Drosophila melanogaster: one gene and its partners. The protein of the gene in region 4 interacts with the protein of the main gene of each other region in a biochemical or structural test. Each region holds a gene or a part of one and is shown on either strand. Other genes may lie near its edges.

The links.
Region 1: of the proteins of Cdc42 (region 4) and GEFmeso, one has a biochemical effect on the other in vitro, tested with the Drosophila melanogaster proteins (one study listed by BioGRID).
Region 2: of the proteins of Cdc42 (region 4) and WASp, one has a biochemical effect on the other in vitro, tested with the Drosophila melanogaster proteins (one study listed by BioGRID).
Region 3: of the proteins of Cdc42 (region 4) and RhoGAP100F, one has a biochemical effect on the other in vitro, tested with the Drosophila melanogaster proteins (one study listed by BioGRID).

What each region holds. Positions count from the first base shown.
Region 1 is NT_033778.4:18,606,830-18,614,315, forward strand, and holds the start of GEFmeso (guanine nucleotide exchange factor in mesoderm), read right to left. Parts: upstream 4,949-7,486; 5' UTR 3,904-4,948; coding exon 3,852-3,903; intron 1-3,851. Other genes in the region: CG42697 (uncharacterized protein), read right to left, coding at 5,179-5,249, 5,462-5,597, 5,654-5,866; CG10927 (uncharacterized protein), read left to right, coding at 6,298-7,380; mRpS28 (mitochondrial ribosomal protein S28), read right to left, coding at 7,412-7,486.
Region 2 is NT_033777.3:28,827,161-28,834,992, forward strand, and holds the start of WASp (WASp), read right to left. Parts: upstream 4,865-7,832; 5' UTR 4,658-4,864; intron 4,154-4,657; exon of another isoform or gene 4,059-4,153; intron 3,981-4,058; exon of another isoform or gene 3,834-3,980; intron 3,518-3,833; 5' UTR 3,459-3,517; coding exon 3,342-3,458; intron 214-3,341; exon of another isoform or gene 143-213; coding exon of another isoform or gene 125-142; intron 15-124; coding exon 1-14. Other genes in the region: Apc (APC-like), read right to left, coding at 6,075-7,832.
Region 3 is NT_033777.3:31,810,819-31,818,441, reverse strand, and holds the start of RhoGAP100F (Rho GTPase activating protein at 100F), read right to left. Parts: upstream 5,834-7,623; 5' UTR 4,616-5,833; intron 624-4,615; 5' UTR 411-623; coding exon 324-410; intron 1-323. Other genes in the region: FeCH (ferrochelatase), read left to right, coding at 6,232-6,268, 6,323-6,701, 6,964-7,065, 7,121-7,442, 7,502-7,623. UniProt on the Drosophila melanogaster protein: GTPase activator for the Rho-type GTPases by converting them to an inactive GDP-bound state. Promotes the anchoring of Liprin-alpha clusters at synapses. Recruits and keeps Nrx-1 levels high in active zones in the presynapse opposite the postsynaptic region.
Region 4 is NC_004354.4:19,693,585-19,701,734, forward strand, and holds Cdc42 (cell division cycle 42), read left to right. Parts: upstream 1-3,506; 5' UTR 3,507-3,568; exon of another isoform or gene 3,569-3,641; intron 3,642-4,350; 5' UTR 4,351-4,373; coding exon 4,374-4,661; intron 4,662-4,722; coding exon 4,723-5,010; 3' UTR 5,011-6,354; downstream 6,355-8,150. Other genes in the region: CG14229 (uncharacterized protein), read right to left, coding at 983-1,280, 1,345-1,367; Tcs4 (Threonyl-carbamoyl synthesis 4), read right to left, coding at 6,860-7,904, 7,960-8,144. UniProt on the Drosophila melanogaster protein: Regulates mbt kinase activity and is also required to recruit mbt to adherens junctions. Together with mbt and Frl, regulates photoreceptor cell morphogenesis. Together with Frl, has a role in the neuronal development of mushroom bodies.

The DNA of each region.
Region 1 (7,486 bases), on a different chromosome or scaffold from region 4:
AGCGAGTGCTGTAGCATGCAGAAATTGAATGCATTTGTAACATGGATCTATTGATCTGTATAATTATTATAACTCAATCGATTAGATTTATTTGGAAAGACAAAAACTTAATGTTTCTCTCACTGCATCATCCGAATAATAATCGTTTAGCATTAATGCAAATCGTGGCCATTATGTCAGAGATCGGCGATTGCAGTCGATGAAAGCGAAAGTGTGTCAGCAGGATGGGTTTATAGGTGGCCATTAAGAGCAACTGAGACGACTGGAGACATCGGCGAAGCGTGACAGATTCTCTGCCGGTCGTTGCCCACAAGAGCGAGTGAGAGCGGCGACCGATGCTCTGCGCATGCGTGCCTGCCCAGTGAAATGGAATGGAAAAGTGGGAGGGAGAAAGGTGGGGCTCGTGAGGGAGCACGGGTGACTGCAGTGACTACTTTCACTAGGAACGACGAGACCCAGACAAAATAAAAAAAAAAAAAGCGTGTTAACATAACTTTTCACAGCTCTCTTGACCGTCACTCTCTTTTTCGATTCAATGTGACTCACGATCGTGAAGTTTCTATCGATCGGTATACCTATGTATATATAAAACTCAAGTACAAGTATACACGACTATGTAGGTTCTAAGCGGCTTAAGTGCATGTCATAGGTATATCCATAGCCCGCCCCCTCATTTGACGAAGGTGGGCGTAAATTGCCGGAGCAAATGGCATTTCTGCAAGGAAGTTGTAAATCTGCTGCCAAATAGAATTGTGAGCGGCAAAAGCGTTCATTAAACCCCAGGTCCCAATACAACAAAAAGAAAAAACGAAATTTGTGCAGGACTCTGGACAGTCAGTCAGATATCTATATACCCTTCCAGAAAATATGAAGTTCAAAAACATTTTTTCAAGACACAAAATAAAACTATTGAAAGCACTATTCTTAATCCAAAGAAGTATTATAATAACATGCTTGCTATCATAAAAATGTTAAATATTAATAAAAGCTTCATTATATGGTTAATTGAAACGCATTACATGTGCACTTTTATGCAAACAAGAAATCCATTATCTTTTATGTGCTGATTACTATTAATTAGAACTTTTAATTGAAAAAATTTATTCAGTCTATAAAGTTTACAACTTCCTAATGCCCATTTTGGTAAGGGTATATGACTAGACAGACTCTTCAAACTTCATTGAGAAAAACCTTTTGGGACGTGCGTGCACAATACTCGAGTTTTACGACCTTCTGCAACGCCCACAACAAAAGCCGTTGCACTGAGAGAAATGCAATTAGAGAACCGTCGTGGTGCTGGGTGCTGAGAGGACGTCCACAAACGTCGTCAGACGTCAGACAAACGCCGACTGCCGGCCCACACACAGATCACTTCAGGTCTGGTCTGGTTCTCGGATATGACGGCAGCTTCAACTCCAACTCCAAAATCCCAGAGTCTGGATGCAGGCAATTAGGGGGCAAGACTTATAGCCCCGTCTCAGTGGTGCCAACTTGGCTCCATTTGTTGGTTAAAGTGGGATTCCCAAATGTATTTTCTACCTCAAGAACGTGCAAACTGATCAAAATACCACAACTAGATTACAAATGTGTCACTTTTTTTGAGAAAGTTTCAACTACTGATAGTTCTGTTCCCAACACTTGACTTGGGCATTTCCTGCAAACTACGACAACAGTGACTGGGTGAGGTAATGTCATTAACATCCAATTGGCCAATGAACCCGACGATTATGAAACCGAACTCTATGGCAGCGGTTAATTAGATGAACTTTGTCAATTGCCTTAATTGGGACCTTAGGCCCCGCGCCAGCGGAAGTGGAGCACTGCAAAACTGACCCCTTTAACTTTTTGGGTATTTCGATTGGCCGCCACGCACATGCCACAAAAATGTACGAACAGGTCTGTGACTGCTGGCCTTGTCGGCTTTATCAAAAAGTCAATAAATACATGCGGCGAAATCTTATCAACGCCTTAGCCCTACTACCATCGATATCTATTAGTATTTATTGAATAAACCAAATATGAAAGCCAGGCCAGCCAAATAAATGTCACAAGAGAATCGATGGCGAACCGCAGGGCCCAAAAAGGTTTCCTCAGATCACAATCTTTAACAATATCGAATGAACAGACTCCCGTGGTGTTTGTGGTTACGAGTGGTAATTCAACGACTTGACCTGGCACCCTGCCCCCTTGCGCTCATGCACTTGTGTCCACAGATGAAAATTTCTTATTCCCCCGTTTTGTTTGTTTGTCTGGAATTGAAGTTGACTCTGTTGTTGAAGAGGCAAACAAACACGGTGACGGAAAGGGCAAAAGAAGACGAACTGGTGACATTTGATAGTGCATGCGGTCAACTGCTGGCGATATCATTCGGCGGGTTCTATTTATAGGTCGATGCGATCGGTAATATCCTGGACATGCGGCCGACAGATGGCGTCACGTTTGCTGACCCCGCCAAATGTCAACCACTTGCACAATCGTCTATGTCTAAGCTGGTGGGATCAGCAGAACAAACCCATAAATGCCGCAACACCCCCCCATCACCTATACATGATTCATTCGCCCTACTCATGTATGTGTATATAATTGATATAACAAAGGCCACTTGCTGAATTCGCAGTGTCCGTTATCAATAATTGACGCACCATCTTAACCCGTTTTAAACTATTTTCTTCGGGCAGTTTTTTGAAGGTACTTAACTAAATTAGTTATTCTCTCTCTCTCTCTTCACACATTTGGTTTGGAATTGTGTTGGCCAAAAGATTGCTTAAATTCAGTTTTACAGTTTTAATAGAGTTACTTGCAATTAGTATGATAATACATATTACTTATTACATATACATATTACTATTGATTATTATAAGTTTGGAAACCTTCTTTGGCCTAACATGGGTTAACTAACAGAGCTACTTACAGCGCTGTTGCGCTAAGGGCGGCGTTATCTAACATCCGCTGTTAGCGGGCGTGCAATAATAATAAAGAAAGTCAACAAAAGAAACGCAGTGTCAAGACTTATGACTAATGCACTTAATTGAACGAAAGCTTTCGGTGAGAAGAAAAACAAATATGCAGCATGTGCCACAAAGTTACAAGCAAATCGGCGTTACGAATTAAGTGGGTCAGCAAACCGAATGGAGCCACCCAAAACATAAATTGCAAATCCGAAGACAGACCTTTTCTTGGCCACACTTGTATGGTAATATGTGGGTCAAAATGGCCCGAAATTATGTATTATCATTAAATTTCATTACAACCGACTTTTCGAGCGCTTAAATAATGTCGAAAAATTTCGGACTGCGCAAAAGCGGAATGCAAAAACAAAGCGAACCCGTTACACCGCAATTCACGCAATGCCACTCAGTGGGTTGTTATTTTATTTTCCCCCCACTTTTTGTACAGTTATGGGAACGGAACGGTGCCGTCGATCCACCAAATGCATTGGCCCCAGTCCCAGTCCCAGCACCAGCCGCAATCCCCATTCCATCACCATCCCCCAACCCGCCGAGCCAAAGAAAGCCAACTTGATGGTCTGTTCTTGTACGCAAGTCCATATTCGGAGTTTGGAGTTCTTGGAGAATGCGTAGTGTCTCCCACACAGGAAGAAATATAAGATCGGGACATATGTATATTATTCATAATCCTACTGTAAACATATAGTACCCTAAGCTTTTGTATGTTCTTATGCCTTCAATGACGGATTATTAAAATGTAGACTAATGTCGTCTGAAATGCTGAAAACCAATATTACTAGTCTCTATCTGTGATTGATACGTGATTTTTCCTCAGTGCACCTCCCCAGCCCGCTGAGTCATGTCATTTCTGCACGCAGAAGTTCAGTGATCCCGTTCGCTTACCAAAAAAGTCCTCCCATCTCTCCGAGGTGTCCGAATCGGATTCTATGTCCATCTTGGTCTCCTCCGGCTGCTTGATTTACGATTTCCGAGTGCGTCTGGTTTGGTTTTGGCCAGATCTGGTCCCTCGCGCCTGATCTGTCTCTAAATTTAGACGGCGATTGCAGAGCAACTGACACTGAAGGAGGTCGTTATTATCGCGACTGCTTTGGCTGCTGCATTAGATATGGCCGCAGATACAGTATCTAAAACGGGCGAATTGTGGCCAAATGACTTCACCCGGTGCAGAGCGGAAAGGCAAAGCTCAATCAATGGCTGGCCGATAAGATAAGCGCTCGATTTAACTTTAAACACTGGCACCGAACTGTGCGATTTTCTTTTCCGTTTGTTTGTCGTATATGGACGTTTTCGCAGTTTCGAGTACGAGTATCTGGCTTTATTCACCACTAGTCGCCGATATCTTATCGCGGTCTACTAAGCTCCGAGGTAAGGCAAATATCCAGCAGGTACGGAGGCATTGTGGCCAACAGCTGGTGTCCAGCGATTCGGAATGAGAATACGCGAATGTATCTCAATGTTGCGCTCAGTTCTCGGAACTTTCGGATGACTAAACCGGCTCACGGACTTCTGTCTCTGGGGTTGGGGCTTTTATTTTATTACTTTTATTTGGGCTTAGAACAAATTGTGGGGATTCTCCAAAAGCGGGCCACACAACAACCGATCGTTGATTGAATTAAAGTAATGGGCTCTTCACTTGCTATTTGCGAAACCGAAAACAAAACGAAAACACACAAATTGCAGATACAAGTATCTCGCGCTTCGCTGATTTTCCAGTTTCTCCCGTGCAAATCACCTTCGCACCGTTACTTCTAATTGCGGCAAATGGAAAACACTCTCGTCTCACATATACGACTGCACTTGCAGATACACTTGTGTATTTTCAGATATAATTTTTGATATTTTTCCTGCCGATATTTTTATTTCCTTTTTTTTTTCTTGACGGGTAGGGGGCGGTACACTGGCACACACACGCTCATTCGCAGGAACAGCTCGAGCGCTCCAGGAACGACATATCCAGCGCGCGTCTCAGAGTGAACTGACTTACTTGAAAGACACTCAAGTCGGAAGACCCGAGCACGAAGTCACCTCATACACAAATAATGGGGGGATTCGAATACAAGTTCTCTCTCTCTCTCTCGGTGCTCACAGTATTACATCCGATGCGAAGATCGCTGAGAGTTGCATAGTATGCTCATTCCAAGGCGTTCGATCTCCAACATGGTATGTTTGTATCTTCTATGCATGCAACAAGTGGAACCAACTGCAACTCCTAGCAGTCGTGGGTGCATGATCGACAGCACCACCAGGTTGAAATGATGACCCATTCGTAGTACATCTCGACTGGATAAGAGAAAAATATTATTTTAATTAAAAATCGAACGTGAATAGAATTTATGTACTTTTTAAGTCCACTACGTTTTGTTGCTTGTTTGTGTTATATGTTGTGTGTGTGTTATAGAAAGAAGTTCTCGATAGTTAATGTATTAATCTACTTCTCTATCTTCTTTTGTTTTCAGATCCAAAAGAAATTCAAAATTTTTTCACCAACTTACGTATGCTAAGAAAACCGCCCAGAAGGAGGTGCAGAGGGTCCCACAAGAGGATGTAGAAGAGCACCACAAGTGCGATGAGGAGCCCCAGGGCCGCAATACCTATAAAAAAGGACAAGAGCATGGCCCAGCACATGTCCTGTAGAACAGCGATTGGATATCTTTACAAATTTAAGGATAAAAGTATTCACTTACCCACATCGTTCCGAGGAGAAGAAGAATTTTAGCTAGGGCTTGGACAATGCCAAAGACCATTGCCATGACCACAAGCACTGTTTCCGGATTGCCCTTGATCATCTCGAATAGACCCACAGAAAAGACCATTAAAGCTAGAAGCATCCCCGTGAAGCCGATGAAGATGCAGCCAATGTAAAGCGACAAATAGCCGCAAAACAAGCGCAGACACATTTCGATGTTTCCTCTAAGTTTTGACTAGAAATCACAAGCACATATTTCACTGGAATTTTGAATTTAAACTTTGGGTATCAGACTGGGCACTGCTTACATGTAGACATCAAAAAAGATATTGGTTGTAAGGAATTATAATGCAAATTAGACAATTGATCAGATTATTGAGCTGATTAGATTAAGTATTAGGGAATGTATATCAAAAGTAGGAAATATTTGAAACAGCTCCCAAGCTAAATAGCTTTAAAGACTTTTAAACGTATAATCTTTCACTAAATTATTTTTAAATGCATATTTTAAATAGAAGACATTTTTCAAAGTTGGCGCTTAATATCCAAACAGCTGTTTCAACGCCAGCGCTTGGCACTTATCGATAACCTATTTCAATCGATTCCAATTGGCATTCTTCTAATTGAAGAATTAAGTAAATAATGGATATATCCGCGCCACCAAACAAACGTGCTCGAAAATCACCCAATCTGGATGAAGACATAACTGGGATCCGGGCCATCCTCTCCGATGAGTTCGACGAGGATATTGCGCTCATCAAGGCGCACAGTTGCGAGTTGGAGACGAAACAGCAGCTCCAGGCGGTCATCCAGGAGCTCTCACAGAAATTGCCCCACTTTCAACACCTAAAGCGCGTCCAGGATCGCAGCGTGCTCATATGTCCCAGCTCAGAGATCGGAGTGTCTCAAAGCCTGGAACAACACCTTGAACAGTTTGCCTTTTCGGAGCACGTGCTCCGTGCTTTGTGCCAGGGAGTCCGGGTGGTGGAGGTGCCGGAACGGATGCCCCGACTGCGGGTGCAGTACGAGAAGACCCTTAAGCACTGGCCCTGCAAGTTTCACCCTAATCACTACTCGGAGTCACTGAGGAATGGCAGCAACTTTAGCTCCGCACAACGCACATTTCACAAAAGGATCGGGCAATTGCTTGTGAGGCTCTCGCGGGATGTCAATGCCAATCGTCCGGTGGGCATCTGCGTGGATCCGCGACAACCCAGCATTGTGTCCATTGCTGGAACTGGTGAAGTTTGTAGGCCGCACGAGCACTGCTGCATGATGCTCGTCGATTTTGTGGCTCGCAGTCAAGAAGGAGGCGCCACAAAAACGGAGGTTACATTCACCGAAGATTTCAAGAAGGATACCACTCTGCGGGGTATTCCTAAAGCCTACTACGATTACCTGATGAACAATGAAGACTACAAAGACCTGACATTCGGAGCGGAAAAGTCGAGAGAATGCAAAGAAGTGGACGCAGTTCAAGGAGCAGATAACCTGGCCAAATTCGGACCCTATCTGTGCACCGGCTACGATATCTATCTGCTGCAGGAACCCTGCCTTATGTGCTCCATGGCCCTGGTACATAGCAGGGCGAAAAGAGTATTTTTCGTTAAGAACTCTGAAAACGGAGCTCTAGCCACGAGATTCCAACTGCATTCGGTGCGGGAACTCAACCATCACTACGAAGTGTTCCAGTTCACAACCAAGGAGGATGAAGACTTGACGTAACGTTTAACAAACCTTGGTTTTAATAAAGGATTTATAGGATATCTTCGATTTTCGGCGTTGTTTTGGCCGTCGACTGGCGGGTGGGCGTGGACAGGAGACCCAGCAA
Region 2 (7,832 bases), on a different chromosome or scaffold from region 4:
GCGGTGTTGAGTGTCTGAAAGTGGAGCAAGCAGAGATTGCGTTACACAAAGTTATGACAATCGATAGAAAGATAGAAAGGCCCGGGGCGATTATCCAATACGGGCGAACAAAAGCTTCCAACACCTTCAGTTTGCGCCTCATTTAAATGCAACTATCAATCCGACGACCACGAACTCAATGAACTGTCGCGCTCGAGCTGAAAAACTCATCTGACTTTCGGTTTCGCTAGTTTCTGGCCATCAAGTCGAGTCGATGGCCCCCAGTGAGTGTTGACTCTTTTGAATACCGATTAGCCTGGCCAGCTCTTGCAGCAACTGCAACTGGTAGTTGAATGGGCAATCCAGCCGTTTGGCATGAGGAGCACGTATCCCCGGTTGATGGAGGGCCTAAGTCTAGTCCGTGGACATTAGTCTAGTGGAGAACTTTCCGTGGATCAGTGCATATTGCTGCAACAGTGCAACGGAGACCCATAATGTGCACAGGCAAAAATTAAGTATCATCCATTGATTTAAAATGAAATTGTGTTTCCCCTAAGATAGATGTATAGATAGTACCTACGTATAAATTCAAATTGTTCTCTGTGTCTTTTGTGTGACGGAGGACTTTGTTTATGACCCAGACAGGAAATGGTGGCGACACTCCAAGAAGTGCATCCTGCACTACCACTAAATTGCCGCAGCAGAATAGTTGCCAAAACCATTATGTGCAAGAAGCTCTGCCGCCAGAAAAGTCAAGGCAAGCGCTTATTTATTTATCGGAAACTTTGTGCAAGGACACACCAGCCTCTTTTAGGCTCGACAAAAGTGAGTGTGTGAGTTGGTGGCCCTAACATTTGGCTTTCGCCTGAGGCCACAGAATGACCCTCAACCCGAATCGTTGCTAATTGATTCAACTTGCCGCCCCTGGGCGATGATCCAAAATGTTACGTGCTGGCAATTGAAACACTGCAGCCGAACAGCAATCCAGCATTATCAATTAATGGACACATTAGAGATGGATGGATGTGGATGGATGGTTGGTTAGTGGATATGGGCAATGGCCATGCAGAAGCATTTGCAGCTGACCTTTGGCTCAAATAAAAGAGAAAGAGGCATTGACGAGCCACTGGATTTTATGTAGCTTCGGATGTGGAAGATGCTTTCCAGCCCACACAACACAGCGCAACACAGCACAGCACACAGCTTGTATCTCTGGCAAAGTGCGAAATTGTGAACACATTTGAATTTTTATTGATGCTTAGCTCTGGCTTTTTTTACTCGCGCCAACTGTGAGCGGACATAAGTAGCATTGTAAAAATGATGTCTTGCCTTCTACGTACAAGCTGGTGTTTCTTTTGAAAAGCATTAAAATCGATGGAAAACAAGCGACAGCAAAAAGTGGTCATTGCCACCGAGCGTGTGGCTCGATGGAGCGGGGAATGGGTGCGGTCCTAGCGGTACAAGTCAACCCAAATGGGCCAAGCGGTAAAATGCTCATACGCCCTGTGGCCAACATATTATGTCAGATTATAAATAAACATTTATACGGATATCTATAGATACCACTTTAATCGCAATGTATTTAGAGAATGTCATTGCTATTTAAAGATGCGTAAAAATACTAGAAATGAGTCAGCTACTTCCTTTGTTTATTAAAATTCTTTCGAAAGTAATCAAAGCTAGCTAATTATTCAGAGAGCAAAATCTGGGGCTCAAAGTGTACACTATCCAAACATAAACATCAATTAGAAAGTTTGGCCTGTGCAGAAAAATGCGTTAAATAAGTGTATACAAATAAATGCGAGCAAGAGTTGCGACAAGCGACAAGCGACTGCCAAACCACAATAACAACATCGGGTTTGCTAAGCTGCAGCTTTGTGTGTTATCACACGATATCGCACAAAGACGGGCAGCATTCGATACGGTGAAAACAAGATATGGTTTGGTGATTGATTGAATATTTTCCACCAGGTAATCTCTTTCTTTATCTCAGAGAGCAGAGCAGGGCAAACGAAAGATGTGGGATTAATGACATAATTTACAAATCCCCGAACGTTTTCATTGACTTGCCCAATACCCGTAGCTTCAGTGAATCAAAAGCAGAGACTAAAAATATGAGAAATGGATTGGTAGTGCCTTTCTGAGTGTCTTCAAAAGGGGCCAACTGCCTTAACCAGCCCACTGGTTGCATTACTTTGGCAGAGTTCAAATGCATTTGGAAATGTTTTGTCAATGGAAAGTTGCGAATTAGCAAAGCGTGAATTGCGAATCGAAATTAGCGATTTTCCCATGTTGTGCACACCATAATTATCCGCACAACGGCCGCCGTTAAATGACCACATTCCAAGTTTCCACTCCAATTTCAGGGCATTCTTATCGCACTTGGCATTGGCCGGTGATTCGCATTGGGCGGGCGGATTGATAAGATAAGGTTCGTCTGTATTTCGCCTCAAATACTATATGTACCCCCACTCTTATCACGACCCAATGGGCCAAACTAATGGTTTCTCTTTCGTTTCGCACCACAATCGGCTTTGGCACCCCAATACTACGAAGGAATAGAGTTGGAAATAAAAAACTAATCAAGAAGTGCAAACAACTGCGCTTGTGGCCTATCAATGCCGGCTCAAGCCGTTTGCTGATAGAGGCTCTAAGAAATGCTAGGTAAATATTAGTAATGTTAACAAAGTCTAACAAATTGCTCTAGTAACACTGGCCAGCACATTCGGACTCTGATCTGAATGAATATTATTTATTCCTTATATACTCCTAATTTCTTAATGAGCATTTAATACGAGAATAGTGCCCAATAAGTTGTAACCTACATATGTATGTATGGGCACCATAAAACATCTGTGTAACAATGATTCATCTTGTTTTTTTTTTGTATAGTACAGAGAACATTAATCTAAATGGTTATCTGCACTGACTCAAGTAGACTTTCCAGCAAAAGAGTATGTCTTTCAATCAAAACCAAAGCTAATAATGTGTACGATACTCCCATGCAAGTTTTATAGCTGACCAACTAACTATAGTGCATAGAACTCTAATTTTGTTCACAGTTTAGCTTCCGGTGCCATCTTTAAATGGGCAAAGAAACCATTCAACTATGTTGGGCAGTGTGCAAGTGAAATTTGGTAAATATGACAGGCAGCTGCCCGTAGACCGTAGAATGATATTATGATATAGGGTTACTGTGCTTCGAGTGAAATTCGCACACGATGGGCGACACTTGAGCCGCAGGAAGTGCTTCATCAAGCCGTGGGATTTGCTCGGCGAAGGCGGAGGAACACAAACCATGTCATTGCTTAATTATTAATCACCCGATTGGGGGCATTATGCATCATCAGTACTCGACTCACCTGGCACTTCTTGCCCAGCAGCTTGAAGACGGCCTCATTCTCCTCCTGGGTGAGCAGCGTACTGGCGGCATTGACCTTCGCCCGTGGACCGTCCTGCGACCTCATTCCGCTGCTCATCTGGCCGGTTTCGTTGGATCTGGGTCTGGTGCTGGATATGGGGATCTGGGCTGGTTTCCCTGCACAATACGGACACAATACGCATTTTATTGTGTGGCGAAAACAATACGCAAATGAACAAAAGCTAAATGTATTAATTTAATATCACAAAACGCTGGGGACCCCGAAAAAGTAAAAAGTTCATAACAATAAAGGCACACGGAGTAACAGTTGAACTTCGATAGAGTGAACAAAAGTTTGGGATCGTAGGGTTGACGATACAATATGAAAAGTTTGAGCTCCCATAAATATACTAAAGAGTTCAGAAACTGTATAATATTTAACGTTTAAATGAATTATTGCAGTCAACGCCTTCGAATATAAAAAGATAACTACACTTGGATAGGCTGCCTATTTTTTTGTACAGTGTACAGCTTGTAAAAACTCCGATCTACAGAGAGTTTGAGCAACGGAGTCCGAAGTGTGTTGCGAATAACCCGATTTGGGATCGAAGAATTATGGTTTTGGGACTGCTGAATCGATTGACAGTATTGTCTTTACGGTTTTGAATGGTTTTCAGCCCGAATTACGGCCAAGAGCGCGAGCGAGAGAGACCGAGACCTGCGCTGGCTATGACGATGTAGCTGGTTATGGTGTCGGCGGGGCTGCGAGCGGATCGCCTGGTCTGAGTCACGGTGCCCGAGAGTCGGAAATCAGAAGCAGAAACAGAAACAGTCAGCCAGCAAGCCAGCCAGCTGCGTTTGAATGTGGGCAAAAGCCAGGCCAGTGGCAAACTCTTCGAAAAGAGCCCTTATCTTTGGCGAAAAGCACTGATTAGGTGTGCGCATGTATCTATGTGTGATACATGCACAGTGGTCTGGGTTACTCAACATTCGGCACTCGCCACAAGCCACCAGCCAATCCACCCCACTGTGCGCCACTCCGTAGCTCCAAGATTTGTGACAACACCTGTCCGTCGTCGCGCCAGGTGGGGTGAAAATGCAAATGTAAATAGACAGACGCTGCTGCGGATTGGGAGTAAGTTCATGGGTTGGGTTGGTTCGGCTTGGATGGGATGGGATGATGTGCTGCCCTACTCAAGGTCTCGAATTTCCCTTGTGAGCTGCTCTGCTGGGGGGGTCGCCCATTGATTTTTTGCGTTTATTTTCGTGCACTGCTCTTCACTCTTTCGTTTTTTTCCCACACACAACACAACACACCACAAAATCTGTGTAGTCTCTGGCCTTGCGGATTCCGGGACTCTTATCGGGAGGCTCTACTGTGCGCGCGTCCGCGTCATCGAGTGCATGGCGTTGAAAACGAGTGTTCCTCGGTTGATTATTCGTCTGTTCCCGGACGCAATGCTAGTTTGTTTATTCATTTATTTTTTTTCACTCCAATTCAATTGCTGCCAGTGTGACCGACCGAAAAAGGCGATAGGCTAAAAATACTATCCTTTCGATAATTTCCTAAAATATGCATCAAGCTCTGCCAAGGCCCTGTGCAGACCATGCTCGAGACTTTTCAATTTTGCCCATCACTAGTTCCGCTTAAAAGTTTATCAAAAAGTTTCAGGCAATTCCGTTAAGAAATCGCGAGTGGAGAGCTGTGGGAATAGTATATTTTTTCATTTATGTTATCTTTTCCGTTAAATTTGATTTTGTTTACCACGCCCGTAAATTCGAATAAATATTTGTTCATCTGGCTTTCAAAATATGTTTTATTTTGATATAAATTATAATCGAGTAAATTCACATTGGTTTAATTTTTTGCTGACAAAAAGCATATTTCGATTTATTCATATTGAAAATGGTTAATCGCATTGAATCGGTAAAAACTAAGTCGCAAATGATGAGCTTAATGCATAAGCTGTTTCCTAAAACAGTTACCCTTAACTTGCTAAATTATATAAAAGAATACTTAAAAAGCAGTGACTAAAAAATGTGAATTTCTTCTCTCTTCAGATATTTGGTGTTTGCATAAGGAAGCCAGGGGCATATTTTAAACTTAGAGTATATTCTCAATAAAGATGTGCAACTATATGATTGTAATTGATTTCAGTAGCTCACCAGTTGGAGGACAGCTCATCTAACTAAGTGTTAAAAAAGTTAAATCAGAACAGACATTCGACTTGGTAAACCTTTCCTAGTTAATGCGACAATCGAATATATAGCATTTATATATATGCCAGTATACATTTTGTATATATTGGGTAGTTGTACACATGTTGAAAGGCCTGATTTTGTGTATATATATGCAATACATTTGGCTACACACGATCGGGAGCATCGGGAGCTTCCTTCTCTGACTGTGATTTGGATAAGTTGAAGTTACTAGGAGTTTGCGCTAACTCTATGCTAAACTGGTTGCTTACAAAGTTTTAGGGTCTACGTATAATGTATAAAGTAAAAGGAGAGTAAAATATGGATTACATAGCGTATGTATATTAACTCCTATCCTAAAAACTCTTTGATTTTGACTCTGACTCTAGCTCGGCTTGTGGATGTGGACCTGTGCGTGTTCGGTTCCTAAAAAATGCTTGACAAATACAGTCCTGTTCCTCTTACAATCTCCACTTCCGTTTTCGCTTTAACTTGGCTAATTTGTGATCCATACTATCCTGAACAAATTAACCCTCTATTTCCGCGCGCCCACCACTGGCAGCTTGGACTTGACTCCTCCAGCGGTGCTGGGGGTATTGTCAAACGTGGAGCTGCGCAGGAGCGTCGGCTTGGTTCCATTTGCGTTGAGCATGTTGGAAGATTTGGTTTTCTGCGTCCTCAGGTTGGATGACGATTGCTTGGTTTTGGCCTCGTCCACTCTCTTCCAGATGTTGGCGATACGACTTTGCGCATGGTTGATCTTGGCCGCAGCTGCTGCGGCTGCACTGCTTCCATTTAGGTTGGAGTTGCTGCGGGATGGTGGAGTAGTGGACGACACGCGGCCGGAGACCACACGTGAGGCAGCGTGAGATTTGCCCGCAGCTAGTCGCAGACTGGTGTTTGCCCTTTGAGGCGTCATTCGGCGGGCCGGCGCCAAGGGAATCCTCTTGGGAGAGCCCGCTTTCGATGGTGACCCACCGCTGGCCGTGCCTTTCTTTGTGGGTAACTTCGAGGCGCGGTGAGTGGGACTGGTTTGAGCCGGTTTTGTCTCCACCACGGGCACTTGAACATTGGAGTTAGTGGGCTCGTCCTTGACAAAGGTTCCCTGGCGTTCCAAGCGTGCGGGTGCCGGCTCAGGCGGCGGCGTCGGCTTCTTTTTCGCTGGTAACCTAACTCCTGAACCGCCGGGCACCAGACTTCGTTTGGCAATTGTTGGAGATAGGGTTTTCTTCTTGGACGGGGCGGCATTGTTGCTATTCCGTTGACTTTGCATGCTGTAGGGTGAGACATAGGCTGGTTTCTTGCGACCTCGCACCAGTTTTACGGCCGTGGCGGGCTCCAAGGTTGTGGGCTTAACGACTGATGTTCTAAGGTCCACAATTGACGGAGGAGGAGGCAGCTGATCCGGTTCCTGACCATCGCACGACTCCGTCTCAGAGTTCTGATCGCACTCCGGGGATTCCCCTGCGTCTTCTGGATGATCAGTACTCTCGCAAGTCTCCTGACTGTGTCCAATGTTAATGTCCGTGATGAAAGTGAACTGTTGCATCATTGCTCGAATTGAGGAGAGCTGTTCGCTTGGGCAATCATCGGGTTGGGGTTGTATCAAAGCCAGGGGACATTCAATCAGTTGGGTCTTGTACCGCTCCGCACTGCCCCTTCTCCTTCCATTGGCGCGTGGCGATGGCGTGGCCACAGGAACGGCAGCTTCCACAATTTCTATCTGCAAAGTTTCATTGGCCTCTGGTGCTTCCATCTCGCAGCTGGTGGCTATGGTGTAGGTCTTGAAGCGATCCTTTGTGAGACGTCGCTTGTCTTTCGGTGTGAGGGAACGACGATTGGGTGATGGAGTAGATCCGTGCTTGGGTGTGGACTCGGCCGAGCTGTAGTCATTCATTGTGGCATCCTCATCCTCGTCGAAACAACTTTGGAGCACGGTCATCGTCTGATCATCGCAAGCAGCCGTCTCATAGTTGGACACGGAAATGGTGGTGGCCATGCTGCAGTCCTGCTCGCCATCGGCCACCTCAGATTGAATGCTGTCCACACTGATCATCGAGTCCAGCAGCTCATCCATCAGTGACGGAGGCTTGATGTTGTCCAGCAGGTTGCAGCTGGAGTTCACGCTCTCCGCACTGCCAGCTAAGTGACCCAGTGCTCGTCTGGCTACCAAATTGGCTGGAAACATTTTTCGCGCGAAGCGTGGACTCTTGCTGGGCATCGCCTGGCGCAGAGAACTAGGCTGGGAGTGATCCTGGTAGCAGCTGTTCAGCGATTCCATTCCCGACGGCGG
Region 3 (7,623 bases), on a different chromosome or scaffold from region 4:
CAGCAGAGTATAAATCAGATTTTGCAATTAAGTCTTCATTGAAATTCAGGCGTAAACTGTAAATTTATTATGGCAGCCACGAAGATGATAAGGGAACCGTGGTGCTCCCCCACTTGACTGACAGATTGTGCCAATTTCCCCACTTATGGCGCTTCAGGGGAGGACTAAGTGCAGTCGCAATCGAGGAACTTCGAACTCCGCTTCCTATACATACAAGTATCGCTAGTGAAATACCCATACATATATGTTTAATTGTTAACAGCATCGAAAGGACATTTGCTGTTAACTTTTGAAGCTTATATGCACATCCTTCTATTACTCACCTTTCTGCGTCCACAACAAAGCATTCTTCGCACACGCGAATTTCCAGTAGCTGCTTTCAATCGAGTAAACTTCTTCTTCCACTGCATTTATTAGTGGGGATCCGATTGGGAATAGCTTCCTTCGTTCCTGTCCTTCCTCTCGCCGTGGGTGGGGTTTTGTTTGAAGGCAACTTCTGTTAATTGCCGTATTTGCTTGCTGGTAGCTGTGGCATTTGGTCAATGCTGAACCCGTCCTTTTGGTTCCTTACAAAAATGCGATATAAAAATGCAAGTCCGGGTTTCGTTGCGAGTTGAGTGTTCCTGCAATCGGAAAGCGGAGGCAGTAATGAGTTAAAGAACGAGCTCAGAGCCATAAACAAGTATTTACTGTAATATGACTGTCAACAAGCTGGCACATCTACTCGCCACTAGGACGCCTCATGGTTCGAGGTACAGTGGGCCACGAATGACCGTAATTTATAGATTATACTTGTGCGTGAACAATTCAAAAATTTCCGGATAGACAATCGAGAAAATCTTGACAATAACTCATTATAAATTGTAAATAATGTAAAATTTTAGAAAATATATGCTTAGTTCCCGAGTAGCCAACGCAAATATTCCTAACTGTATCGCTGGGTGTGTCTGACAGTGTGTCTCGCAATGCCTAACCTAATGAAGCTTTACACTTTGCGGGTTCGCGGGTCTGAAGCCACGAGCCTGACATGTGTCATATGCATTTGCCTGACAAGGCATTCGAGCACTTGGACAGTTCTCGTCCCAACTGCTCCTGCGTATTATGCATATATCGGGTAGATGTCTGTCTCTGATTTTATAGCGCTGATATTGCAATCCTTAGCGGACGCCCTCCGTAAATAAAAAATAAAACAATGTTTGCTAAGCAATGCGACTGCGGAGGAGGGTGCCAAAAGAAGGGGAAGAAAGCAGAGGGACCACATTGATGGGACACTGTGCGCTACCGCATGTAATCTCCCAAAAAAGTATGCTACAAATTTTTACATGTAACTATATTCCACTTTTTAATCAAAAGAAAAAAATGCCTATATTAATGCTAATATTAAAGTTTTAAACATTAATTACATCTAACCAAGGACACATTTCTTGCATTGAGGGCTTTTTAGCGAATGTGGGCCACTTCTGGTTCTGGTACATCCTTGGCAAAATGCGCGCTCATTCCCATAGCTGTATATTTATGGTAATGAAGCGGACCAGCCTGGCCTTTGGGCTAATTGTGTTGGCCCAGTTTTCGTTAGGAAGCTGAACTTGCTTTTTGCTAGGCCCTTGTGAGGAACATTTTCCTTCGGATCCTGTTGAGGACTGGAATGGCTTATACCAAAATAATAAAGGCATGGTTAATTCCTTTCTAATATCTTCCTGTAAAGTGAACAAAGTAACAGTCCTTTGCCCTCAATAGTAAACTTATGTTTTTTATTAAAAATGGTGTCTGTTTTGTTTTAGTAGAATGGAAAAGAGATAGGGACACAAAAAATTGTAGGAACACTTATATATATCATTCATACTAAAACAGGAGCCAATAACAATCAACACACAAGGGCTTAACATTGAGTGGCCCCTATGCCATCCTCAGTCAGATTATTCATCATCATCATCAGGATGATCACTGTCATCGACATTAAAGGAAACCAGTAAAGCCTTGGATGGCACATTGCCACAACTCCAGATTTTTTTCCAGAAAGCAGCTTGCCTTCCTCGAACGCCTCCTCCGTTGCTCCCGCCGTAGTAATTGCAATGAAAAATGTTACAATCGTGCACAGGACATTCAAATGTACAAAGAAGAATGTGGAGCTATGTCCTCACGAACATGTCAGGGGGTCCAGCTGCGTCACTGACAACTGATTTCCTTGCCAGTTTTCAACGCTAGTTCCAGTGATGTCAATGACTATCCTTACGGACGATAAAAGTCTTAAAATTGTACTCCGAAATTTCGAAAAAGAGGAAATATAGGAAATACATTGAACGAGCAATACTGGAATTAACATATATGTTAGTGGATAGAACCAGATATTTTGCTCACAGAGCTTAAACAGCATCACTTCCGGGTGTACTAGGTATGGAACGGAAAAATGTCTATTCATAATTCCTTTCTAGGAAGCGGGGAGCTGCATGAGCTGGAACATGTATATACAAGATACTTTGTGTCACAGTCGCAGTAGCGACAGAGAACAGCCGTCACGAGGAAAGATGTTGCCTGGGTGTTCACCAACAGCAGCAGCTACACCCATTACCACATCGAGAACAACTTTACCAGTCGCCAGTCGCCGGGAATGTTGTCTAGGCACGCATAAAATGTATTATAATGACATCACAAATTGAGCTCGCTATGTGTGTCCATAAATGAGTGACAAAGCTTGCCCGCACTCCATTCCAGCGGCAAAAATAGCAAATAATTTATCAAATAGCAAAAAACGGAGACTTTCCGCAGCAAGCAAGTACATCAGAATCCAAATATTACGAAATTGTCATAAATAGTGAAAACCGAATTTAATAAGATATCGATATGAATTTTAAACTTTAAAATTATTTTTACTTGAGGCAGTGCTACAATGACGACAGGCAGATTTATCGATTTCCCTCTTTGGGCTCAGTTGTAACCCCATCATGGCATTATTTGGTTTGGTATGGTTATTGCTGCGTTGAAGTTTATCCACAACGCCACATCCCCATGAGTCCCTTTTCCACACTTTGACTGGTTAGTAGCACCCGACAAAGGAATATACATCGAAAGAAGAAACACAGACCCACCACTGGGGACCGTCGGACCCTAACCCGCAAACCCACCATCCCACCCACACCCACTGGGCTTTGCCGCACGCTCATGCGACTGCACACCCACTGAGGCAAAAAAAGGATACTCTTTCTTTTAGAAGTTATATTTATCGGCTCAGCTTATAATTGTAACGCGAAAAGGCCCCACAACTGACTCGCAGCTCTTGACAACCGATATTACGATCATTTACTTTTCAGATCGGATCCCATTATCTGCATGGTAAAACCCCAATTTTCAGTGCAGTCGCTTCGCGCCATGTGGTCCTTTCTGCCGGTGCTCAGCTGACTCACCTGACGACTGTGCAACATGCCACCAGCAACCCGCAACTAGAAACTCGCAACTCCGAATTTGGAGCTCCCAACTCGCCATTTGGACGACGGATAGAAGTCGCATTAAAATGCCAAAAATATGCTCGAAACCATAAAAACTAGCAAAGTTGCGGGGAAACTGTGAATTTATCTAATTAGTGAGGGCAGAATCAAAAAGATGGAATTATGGCTGCACAGAATGGAAGTCGCCATCCACATGTTGTATTACAGCTCGGCTTATACCACACACATAAGGACCAAACAAAATAATATGCAATTTTAAAAATAACTTTCTGTTTAAAGATTTTCTATATGTGAACAATACTGCCTTAAAATAAGTTAATAAATAACAACGTAAATTAATACAACAAAAAGTACCAAGCGATTTTAATGGTCTCTATGGAAATCCATTTTTGGCTACCGTAAGAGGCTTGCTATCATTTTTTTTATACAAGGGGCTTTAGTTCTAACATAAAATTAAGATAGTTGTGCGGCTCAGCTTTTTTAAATTATTTGTATGGTATGGGGCTCCACACAAAGTTCTCTGTTTGCTGGTAAATTGGAGCAAAGCTTTTAGCTTGGGGGTAGTTTGGCGGACTGAAGGGGCGATTCGGGGTGTAAAAAGTTATGGGGGCTTTGAGCATAAAAAGCGTCCAAACAAGATTTTTGATTGTTAATGTCGCGGTAAATGTTTTGCTTTCTGTTCCTCTCACCTAGTCGTATATATCCTAGATCTTCATCTCTTGTGTGTAATAGAGGAGATCTTGAAATAATTTGCTGCTGGAATAGACACCGCTTATATTACATTTGCTCGAATTGATTTGACGATATGCCATGTTTTCTTACGATTAAATTGGAACCTCCACCTCCAATGACTACAATGAATGATGATAGCCTATCAGAAGACGTTTCCTTTTCTTTCAAAAGGTTTTTAGTAAAAGGCAAAATAACGCTAACCAACAAAGCATTAGAAGTTCTGGAAACAGGATTTGTTTTAACAGAAAATTGCGCATAATCACACTTGCCACAAATGATCGCTTATTCGAGTTGTGGGAGCCTTATCAAGCACAGCCGAATTTGATAGCGACAAGGTCATTTCCTATGATGGACTTTTCACCCTTCAAATAGTTTTTTAATTAACTAAATGCATAGCCGCCAGTGAGTTTCCTGGATAGGTCCCTTTGTTGAAAACTCACCTGCACTGTGGAACTGCGTTTCTCCTGACGTCCTAATGCTTGACGTTTTGCGTCTAATCCGTGCCAACGGCTACTGCCCAAGTTATGAAAACGTGAGATCACAAATTGCAAGGGACAACTGGGGTCGGGTTGAAGAGGGGCGGAGGTATGGGAGTGGGCTAGTTGCAGTCACCGGTCGTAAATGTGTGCCGCGTTGTGAAAAGGATGCACTTGCTCTCTATGGTAGCTCTCTCTTGCTCTCTCTTTTTCTCTAAAAATGTCTATCTCTTTCGCTCGCTAGCGTTACCTTTTATTTCGGCTTTGATTGGTTTTAATTTCCGCTGAAGCTGCTTTTACTTCCGGGGCAGTAAGAATGCGAATGCAAAATGCAATTGGCTAGGTGCAGGTTTTTGTTGTTAGAGACTTATCGCTGATTCGGTGGTCAATGGCTTGGGATTTTGAGAAGCAGTACATCCTTGCAGCCTCTCTTTGCTCCTTTCTGCACCGTCTTTCGTTGCCTTTCGTTTCGTTTCACACTTTCGTCGCATTCACGGCATCCCATGCAACTTTTTTGCTGCGGCATTTTTTGCGTAACTTGTGAGATAATTTCAACATGTTTTTGGTTCCCGGAAAAGGTGCAATTTATTTTTTGGCCTTTTCATTGATCTGTGCGCGAGAGTGCTTGCGGGCGCGGTGTGTGGGCTCGCGGCAGGCGGGTGTGAGAGTGTGTGGGTGGTGCGGGGAACCCGTAGCGGAATGCGTCCGTGTGGCAGCGCGAAGCTTTCGCAACTATGCGAATTTCCTGAGTAGGAATTTCAGTATAATAAAATATCCTGTTCCTCTTCTAAGTCGAGAAAGAGAGCAAGAGAGCGCTAGTTATTCTGCGCGTGCGCCACGAATTGGAGCACTTTAATGCTGGTGGCGATAACACGGACATGGACACATCACCAATACTCGCGCACGTACACCCACCACCGCGGTGGAACTCCTTCCCTCTCACTCACTCCAAAACTTCCTACGTTTTTTTCACTGTGCTGCGCCGCTTGTCCTTTTGCTTTTCTCCGATGTTAAACGACACTTTCGGTTGTTTTTCAAGCTTTCTTATCTTTTCGGACCATGGGCCGCGCCTTTTATTGCGTTTTTACGAAGCAATTGTGCCTGCATTCGGTGGAAAAACTACAAAATATTATTTGATCGGAGGAAACGAAACACTCGCAGCAAGCGACGAGAGCGAAATGCAGCGTGCAAGAGCGAGACTGCACCACAGTCAGCTTTTACCGTTGCACGCAGCGTTGATGACAAGGGAAAGAAATAAGGACGCATGCGCGAAAAATTTCTGTTGGTCGCTTGAAGAACAGTATATACCAAATATTGGTTTCGGTTTCAATAAAGAGAAATTAAATGGTAAATGTGTAACAAAAGGAAAAATTTTTAAATATTTAGATTACTGTTGAGTAATAGTTGGCAGCTATTTTACACACATAGATGGCGTGACGGTTACTTTTTACAGAACTCTGTTACGTTTGGAAAAACTCTAGAATCTGTGAGATCATACATTTTGGTATTTAAACTATTTTAGCAACTGGTAACACTATTCGACACCGGTGCCATCAATTTGGGTCAATTTAAAAGGAACTATGTTTTTGCATAACACAAAGTTTTGCAGACTGGCAAGTGAGTATACGAGTGGATACAGTTCCCACGACATTCCTACATATTCCCCAACAGGTGGTCTGGCAGGAGGAGTGCGCAACCTGAGCGGCCAAAAACCGAAGACCGCGATCCTAATGCTGAACATGGGCGGTCCGACCCACACGGACCAGGTGCATGACTACCTCCTGCGTATTATGACCGACCGGGACATGATCCAGCTGCCGGTGCAGAGCCGTCTTGGTCCGTGGATCGCCCAGCGCAGGACGCCCGAGGTACAGAAGAAGTACAAGGAGATCGGCGGTGGTTCACCGATTCTTAAGTGGACCGAGCTGCAGGGCCAGCTCATGTGCGAGCAGTTGGACAGAATCTCCCCGGAGACAGCACCTCACAAGCACTACGTCGGTTTCCGCTACGTGAATCCCCTCACTGAGAACACGCTGGCCGAGATCGAAAAGTGAGTGTAGTCGAGAAGTAGAACAAGAGTGATGTAAATAATCCGAAGGTCGTGAAATTGACCTATATATATTGCTACGGACTCTCACAATAAGATATGTTCTAGTAAATAAGTTTGTATAGACTTCTGACTTCTTATGCATGTTTCAATGTCCTGCTATTATCAGTTGACTTCTTGGACAAATTACTGAAACCTAAACCTGGAAATTATGGTCATTTGCGCTACTTAAAGAATACATGTTAATATTTTAACATATTTACAGGGACAAACCAGAGCGCGTTGTACTCTTTTCACAATATCCACAGTACAGCTGCGCCACCTCCGGATCCAGCTTTAACTCCATATTTACTCATTATCGGAGCAAGTGAGTTAGAAATGCACAATTGCAGCTATTTATTTGATCCCCTCTACCTCTTTAGTAATCTGCCCTCGGATATCAAATGGAGCATTATCGACAGGTGGGGCACTCATCCACTTCTAATCAAAACGTTTGCCCAGCGAATTCGCGACGAGCTGGCCAAATTTGTGGAAACGAAACGAAATGATGTGGTCATCCTCTTCACTGCCCACTCCCTTCCCCTTAAGGCTGTGAACCGGGGTGACGCGTATCCCTCGGAGATTGGTGCTAGCGTACACATGGTGATGCAGGAACTTGGTCAGACGAATCCCTACAGCCTGGCATGGCAATCCAAGGTGGGCCCGCTACCCTGGCTGGCGCCCGCAACTGATGATGCCATTAAGGTGTAACTTTAATGCCGGATTTCCATTCCCATCCACTAAAACCAATCCCATCTTTACAGGGCTATGTTAAGCAAGGCCTGAAGAACTTCATCCTTGTGCCCATTGCCTTCGTGAACGAGCACATCGAGACGCTGCATGAGCTCGACATCGAGTACTGCGACGAACTGGCCAAGGAGGTAGG
Region 4 (8,150 bases):
ATGGAGGAATCATAATGCTTAAATTAATCCATCTCAAACGACATAAAGCATTGAAATGTCAATATATGCACATGAAAACATATTAAATACCTTAAAAATATATTAACTTTCCATTTTCCAAAAGTTTTCAAAAACTGGCAAAACAGTGGTAGTCCAAATACCAAAATATACCGCAATATGTTTTTTCAAATTGTACACTCATTTTTAGTTATACGAATTTTTGAATGCTGCGAAATAGATTTGATCAGCTATTTGATGAAAGATGAATTAACTAAAATAACACAGTGCTATATAGAGTTGCCACCCTGTCAATGGTCACGAATTGGGAAAATGAAGTCCTTGAGCGCAATATTTGTTTTAAAGATTTGTCTAAGGATGAGATGTATTACTATGTAAATGTTTATTGGACGTATTCTTGTATTGCAGGTCCATGCTTAAATTCTCGGAATAAGCAAAATGACCATGTCAGCAGATGCGTATATAAACAATGAATAAGTCCAGCTTTCGTTTTATCAGGTCCCTGTAGCTTATTTTCCATCTCCACCGACTCAGCAATGAACTTGTACCCCCCTGGATATCGTATTTCATCGAAATAGGAAAATATAAAGATATGGAGGTTTTCTTACATTATTCTTAGAATAAATTATACATGCAGGATTATAAATACATATTGAAGGGATGGTAACCGATGAACATAGTTTATATATATTCATGTGCGTGTTTGGGGGACTCTTAGCTCAATTTATACTACTATTATTATGTGTATGCATCAGGGGTGATGCTAATGCCATGCAAGTAAACAATGCTTATCACACAAACGCAAGTGACTCCAGACACGGATATCCGAATCCGTGCGCAGAGAAGACTGAACGGAGGCGAATTACTTTGAACCTAGAGAGAGTGTTGCTGCAGATAACTCGTGTTGGCACTTAAATGGCTGTGCCAGGACTTGGACTCGCACACCGGAATCCATGATCACTAGCTACTGGCTGCTCCGCTTGATGCGCTCGACATGCAGGTCGTACAGCATCTTGTTCTTCTCGTAGTAAAATGGGTTTTGTTCGGCTCCCAGTTCTGGGTTGTATTCGTATCCGGCCGCCACACCGTTTCCGGCTGCATCGGACCCGCCGGATCCACCAGTCGCTCCTCCTCCCGACAGTGGCGGAATGCTGCAGCTGCTGCTGCTGCTGCTGTTCCCATCCTCGTAGTTCAGATTCAGGTTGTTGATGCGCTTCGAAAGGGGCGACTCGCAGGCCAGTTCATCCTCCCGGCTGCGCTTTCTGTGGAGGAATGGTGTGCGTTTGATTAGCGCTGGGACCTCACTACCTTGGTCAAGGTGATTACCTTGTCTTCAGGAATCCAGCCATTCCGATCCCGGGGCCAGTGCAGTGTGTTGGTTTCGGTTCCTATTGGTCAATTGTTTTGTCCTGCCCCGTTTCACAGCAGCGACATCCACCAGTGTGACTGCCTCGAAGTTCGAAATTGGCTGTGGGATATACCAATGGGTTGTGCTAAATATACCGCTAATCGAGGTTTGTTTTTTCTTAAATGGAAATCACAAATAGCCAACCCAAACAGCAGATATTGTTAAGAAAACCGAGATTATATTGTATCCAAACAAATAGAATATTTTTGGGAGGGAGGGATAAAGTGAATCTAAAAGTTGTCTCAGTGACAAATAGCGCCAAGTGAGAATATTTTATACCCAACAATTACTTCACGATGACACGATGAATACAGCTGCGGTTAAAATAATAACACTACTGCAGGTGGAAAGTTGATTTACCAAAAAAAATAATTAAATGTTTTATTTTTTTAAGTCAGATTGCATGAATAATAAGAACCATATGTTGTCTCTCTGAGCAAGAAATTTTTACTCTCTCAATGTAACGGTTCTTTTTGTTTTTGGGCACTTGCTGTGGTAACAAAAATAGCACCGATCACGTATTTGCTGAATACAATTAATAGGAGTGATTGCTTTGGGTTTTTTTTTCGACAAATTTTGAAAAAAGGAGTTGCAATAAAGGTTTTAATTGAATTTTTTCCAAACGAAGACAAAAAATTCTCTAGTCATGGGTCGCGGAAAGCATTGTACCGTCGAAAAAAGAAATTTGATTAAAAACATGATTTCTGAACGTAAAACCTACGCTGAAATTGGTCGCATTGTCGGTTGTTCAAACAAAATGATCCGCAAAGCACTGCTGTTTGTCGAAAAGAAGGAAACACGGCGAAGAGAGCCCTCAATGTCCAACGTGGAGATCAAGCGCTTGGTTTGGCAAAGCAAGAAGGAGTCTTTTAAGCCGGCGACGGAACTGAAGAAGGAGCTTCAGATAGCTGCAAGCGTGGAAACAGTTCGCAAACGCTTAAGACAAAACAACCTTAATGCGTGCAGCCCCAAAAAAGTACCGCTTTTGACTGTGAAGCATGTGGCAAAGCGAATCGAATATGCCAAGATACACAAGGACTGGCCTATGGAGAAGTGGTGCAACATTTTGTGGTCAGATGAGATCAAAATTGTGTTGTTTGGTGGGAAAGGCTCTCGGTCTTATGTTCGGCGTCCACCACGACGTCCACCACTAAATATAATCCTCGCTTCACCTTTAAGTCGGTAAAAAACGGGGGATCAAGCATCATGGTATGGGCGTGCTTTTCATGGTATGGAGTAGTTCCAATCCATTGGATTCAAAGCATCATGGATCAGCACATTTACTGTCATATGCCGAGGATGAAATGCCGTTGGTTTGGACATTTCAACAGGATAACGACCCAAAACACACGAGCAAGAAAGCTCAAAGTGGTTTGAGCAGAAGTAGATCCGAGTAATGAAATGGCCTGCTCAGTCACCCGACTTGAATCCAATCGAAAACCTTTGGGCGGACGTGAAAAAAGGGTTTCTGAAGCCAGACCCAATAATAACGAGGAATTTTGGGGTGTGGTCAAGGATTCAGGAAGCAAAATTCCTCAAAAACAGTGCCAGGACTTGGTGGAGTCCATGCCAAGACGATGTCCAGCTGTCATTACCAGCATAGGTCACGCAACCAAATATTAAGATTCTTTAAACATAGTTTTTAAGATATAATCCGTTTGTTTAAATTTTTTTAAAAATTTTTTAAAAAATTTTTTTATTTAGTTTTGGCAAACTACAAGAAACAGTGCTATTTTTGTTACCGCCTAAATTTGAAGGTTTTTTTTTGTTTTACCAATTATTTTATCCATTAGATCTGTTACTAATTTTTTTATTTCGATTGAAAATCATTGTAGTATTTAAGTTTAGTGAGTAAAATGATGAAAAAGTGTCAGAAAATACAGAAACACTGGGACAAACACGAAATCCGCTTATTATTGTTACCGCAACTGTATGCAGTATATTGGTCCCGCTCTGCCCGATCGGTCGGATATATAGCCCTTACAGTGACAGAGAACTTCCACCGAAAATACCAACATACCGATTGCGATGCAAGCCGGGTGGGAGTACTGCGACGGGATGGCAACGCCGCGCTAGTCACTCGCACGCAAAGAGCTCGCTGGAGAGAGAGAACGCTAACACAAAAGGAAATAGTAGTTTTCCGTACGTATCGAGCCCAGCCCAGAAAAGCGGAAAACTAAACGGATTCGACAGCGGTTGCAAATTTTAAATAACTGTAAGTAAGGCGGAAAAGGTGCCCGCAACGAGCATCCGCCGTATAGATCGCAACGCGTTTCAATTTGCCCAGTGAAAAGTGAATGAAAACCAAATGTCGATGACGGGCCTGCCTGCCTGTGTGTGTGTGTCATATGTGCGTGTGGTCCGTGCCGCAGTGTGCGTGTGTGATAAATAATTGCTTCCAAATTTCTTTAGTTTTTTGTCTGCAAATCTCGTCTAAAATCCGACTATAGCTAAAAACAGGGGGCAGCTCCAGCAGCTGACTGGGCGGCCAGTCCCGTGACCAAATAAACCATCATAAAGCCAGTAATAGTGCAGCAAAAACTGCATTAGACCAAGTGAACACGCACCGCACACACACAACCGCAAGCTGCCGTACTCGCTGCGCCCCTGCGCGCAAGTGTTTGCGTGTATGTGTGTCCAATCAGAATTTTCTGATGCCCGTCCGGCTTATCTGTGTGCGCCGTTGCTTTCCATTCTTTCCGTTCTTTCTTCGGCTTGAGTCATCGCTCATTCTGCCCAGATATGTACATATGTACATTGCACACACACTGCCGCCCCGCTCTCCTGGGCTCCGCTCCTCCTCGTTGATAAGGCGCCGCTGGCGAACGGTCACTCTGGCAGGAGTACGAGCAGGAGCAGGGAAGCCGCACCCACTAGTCATCCCCCCAGTGTAATCCGGCAAACTAACCCCCACTAATCCGCAGGAGTCATCACCCCTCTGCACAACATGCAAACCATCAAGTGCGTGGTCGTCGGCGACGGAGCCGTGGGTAAGACATGCCTGCTCATCTCGTATACAACCAACAAGTTCCCGTCGGAGTACGTGCCCACGGTGTTCGACAACTATGCGGTCACTGTGATGATCGGCGGTGAGCCCTACACACTGGGCCTGTTCGATACGGCCGGACAGGAGGACTACGATCGGCTGCGTCCGCTCTCCTATCCGCAGACGGATGTCTTCCTTGTCTGCTTTTCGGTGGTCAGTCCCAGTTCCTTCGAGAACGTCAAGGAGAAGGTACGTACAAGACTATTCTACGCCATGGCGAGACTGTAAGTGAGTCATTTTGCATTTGCAGTGGGTGCCCGAGATTACACACCATTGCCAAAAGACGCCGTTCCTGCTGGTGGGCACACAGATTGATTTGCGCGACGAGAACAGCACGCTGGAGAAGCTGGCCAAGAACAAGCAGAAGCCCATCACCATGGAGCAGGGCGAGAAGCTGGCCAAGGAGCTGAAGGCCGTCAAGTACGTGGAGTGCTCGGCCTTGACACAGAAGGGCCTGAAAAATGTATTCGACGAGGCCATCCTGGCCGCCCTCGAGCCACCAGAGCCCACAAAGAAAAGGAAGTGCAAATTCTTATAATTCTGCTTTCCTCACACGCGGTATCCCTTTCATTCTGGCTTTCTACTATCGCAATGACTCCTTCCCAGCCTCCCGTCGTCGAGAAGCATTCAATATATAGCCGTATATATATATATATAACATATATATATATATATGTATATATATTGGTCTTGATTTACGTTATTCTGCATTAGCCCAGTACTCCATGAGCTATTTCTCCTCGCCGCCATCCGCCTGTGTCCCCACTCCCACTCTACTCTTTTTGTCTCACACACCGTCTGTGTCTCCACTTACGCGCGTCCGCGTATCTGTGTCAGTAGTGTCCGTGCTCCAGCCTCCAGAGCTCTAATCCCTACCCGGTATTTTGGTCGGTTTCTATGTTTGGTCCACTGTGACCAGGCGGCTGGGCAGTTGCCCCCAACTCGGGACAGTCTTCCGCCCCACAAGCTTCAGCTCCAATCCCCGCCAGGATCCAATCGCAGCCAATCGAATCGAAACCCAGCCGACTTCATTTCTGCTCCCAAACATGTTTTTGGCGCAATTTTCGAATTAAGTAAAAAGAGGAACCACAATATCAATATAGCGAAAACAAATGATTTATATATAAATATATATATATATATATGTATATATATATATATTTCTTTATATATATATACAAAGATTAAGGAGAGGCAAAAAAAAAAAAAATATACATTTACGATAAACAAAAAAACAATCCAGAACAGAACAGAATGTGGGGCGATTCGAAAAGAACCATGCACTTATTCGTTTTGCCTCAGTCGATGAAATCCGCGGGAATCCACGTCGATATTGTCCCGAAAGGAGCAACGTGCGAGAATTATATTAAATATTTATGATAACTGATCGCGTAATGTTTAAACAGCGGAGGTCGGATGGAATTCGCTAGCATGCAGATATGAAAGTGAAGCTTATTATGTAATAAAACTAAGCGTATGAGTATTGAAATATGATTAAAAGTAAATTAAATGAACCTAAAGGAGGAGATAAAGGATCAGCAAGAGATGCGAGAACCGAACTAGGCGTTGCAACCACAACACAAACACACATCTGAAATCTACAATCTATATAAAAGTATATACATATATATATATATATTTAAATATGTATAATCCATAAAGTATAACAAACAATAAAACAACGGCAACAGCAACAAACATTTGTATTGTAGTTCAGCAAAAAAACAAAAACGACAAAAGATGAAAGGAAAATAAGAACTAATGCATTTTTTAATATTTTTATATGTACACATTATCAATTTTTACATTTTTTTTCTAGACCTTAGTGATTTAACATTATTGATTTCAGATAATATCTTATAATAAAACGAAATCCAAAACGAAACCACTCACTGTCTTGCCTGAAATGAAAAAAAAAAAGGGAACATCCCACCAAAGATGCACAAGCGAAAATGTACTTTTTATATGTATAAAATTACATAAATTCAATGCAATTGTGATTTTTATATAGCATTTGTGATTCATTTGTGGTTGTTTATTTCTATATCGATTCGCGTGATAAAGACCTGTCGTCATATCAGTTATTACGTTCCTGGAAAAGTGGCCAACAGGTGGAGGCAAAGCTTTTCCATTACTATAAACTATATTTTGATTATCTGGCCATGTCCTATTGTTCGTCAGCATAAACGTCGAGATCTCGGAAGCCACCAGAGCTAGCAAGGTGGCTCTTAGCAAGTAGGAACTCTGCAGCGCCAAAGAACTCACACACTCAAAAATATTATGAATATATTATTAATTTGTAAATCAGACAAACAGGATTCAACAACGAACAAGGATTCATCTGTAACTTTATGTAAGAATGTATAAAACACAACAGGGGCTAGTGATCAAACCAGTGGCTGTATCCACTTGCATTTTATGGCCGCCGCAGCGACAGCTTCCTCGTGCGACTCGGCGAATCCCGCGCTGCCCTGGATATCAATGCTGTCGTAGTCGTAGCGCGTGCTGGCCTCTTTATCCTGCAGCAGTTGCTCAACGCCGTGCCAGGCGATCATGACGCCGTTGTCGGAGCAGTACCGCTTCGATGGACGGAAGCTCCTGCAGCCATACTGCGCGGCCAGATGTTCGATGTTGGCGTATATGGCATCGTTGTTGGCCACACCGCCGGACATGACCAGTGTGGGCGGGGTGTCACCGAAGAGCTGCCTGTGCGGCAGGAGGCAGTACTCAATTGCCCGCTGCGTGCGGTGCATCAGGTGCCGGCTGACAGAGCGCAGCAGGCCGGCGCAGAAGTCGCCGTAGTTGCTGATGACTCCGTCCGGAGGTGTCCGCTCTGCCCGCTCGCGCGCTCGGATGGCCCGGAAGGAGTTGTTCTTGATGCCGGCGAAGCTGAAGTTGCAGTTCCGCTGCTGGGCAAGTGGCAGCGGAAACTCGTAGGCCAGCGGATCGCTGGCCAGCTGGGCGGCATGCTCAATGGCCCGTCCTCCGTTCCACAAGCGGTACTCCGGCAGAATGTGCAGGCGTAGTCGCCGACCGATCTTGTCAAAGGCCTCGCCGGGCGCATCATCCAGTGTTTGGCCAAGAAGCGTAAGGCGACCGGGGCCGTTAGCCACCACCAACTGACAGTGGCCGCCGCTGGCCAGCAAGCAGAGGAAGGGGTAGCCGATCTGCTCCGGATGTTCCATGCGGGCCTGCAGCGCGTGCGCCTCCATGTGGTGAACGGGCAGCAGGGGCTTCTGCAGGCGACGGGCCAGGTGCCGTGCAAAGCGCACGCCCACCAGCAAACTCAGCGGCAGTCCGGGACGCGTGGTCACCGCGATGGCCGTCAGTTGGTCCGGCTTCAATTGCGCCGCCTCCATGCAGCGCTGGTAGGCGGACTCGATGCGGGCGCGGTGAAGGTCCTGGGCCCTGGGCGGAATAATGCCTCCATAGCTGCAATCGATTCAGTTCATCATTGGGCACCGCATGCGGAGATGTGAGCACTCACCGGGTGTGGAACTCCTGTTGCGACTCCAGCACATTGGCAATCACTCGGCCCGTGGTGTCCACGATGGCGATGCCCGTGTCGTCGCAGGAGGTCTCGATGCCCAGGACATAGCTGAGCCGGCGCCTGATCCCACAGCCAAATACATTTGCTATTCCATTGCCGGCAAAATTACGAAGTGCATGCATAATGGC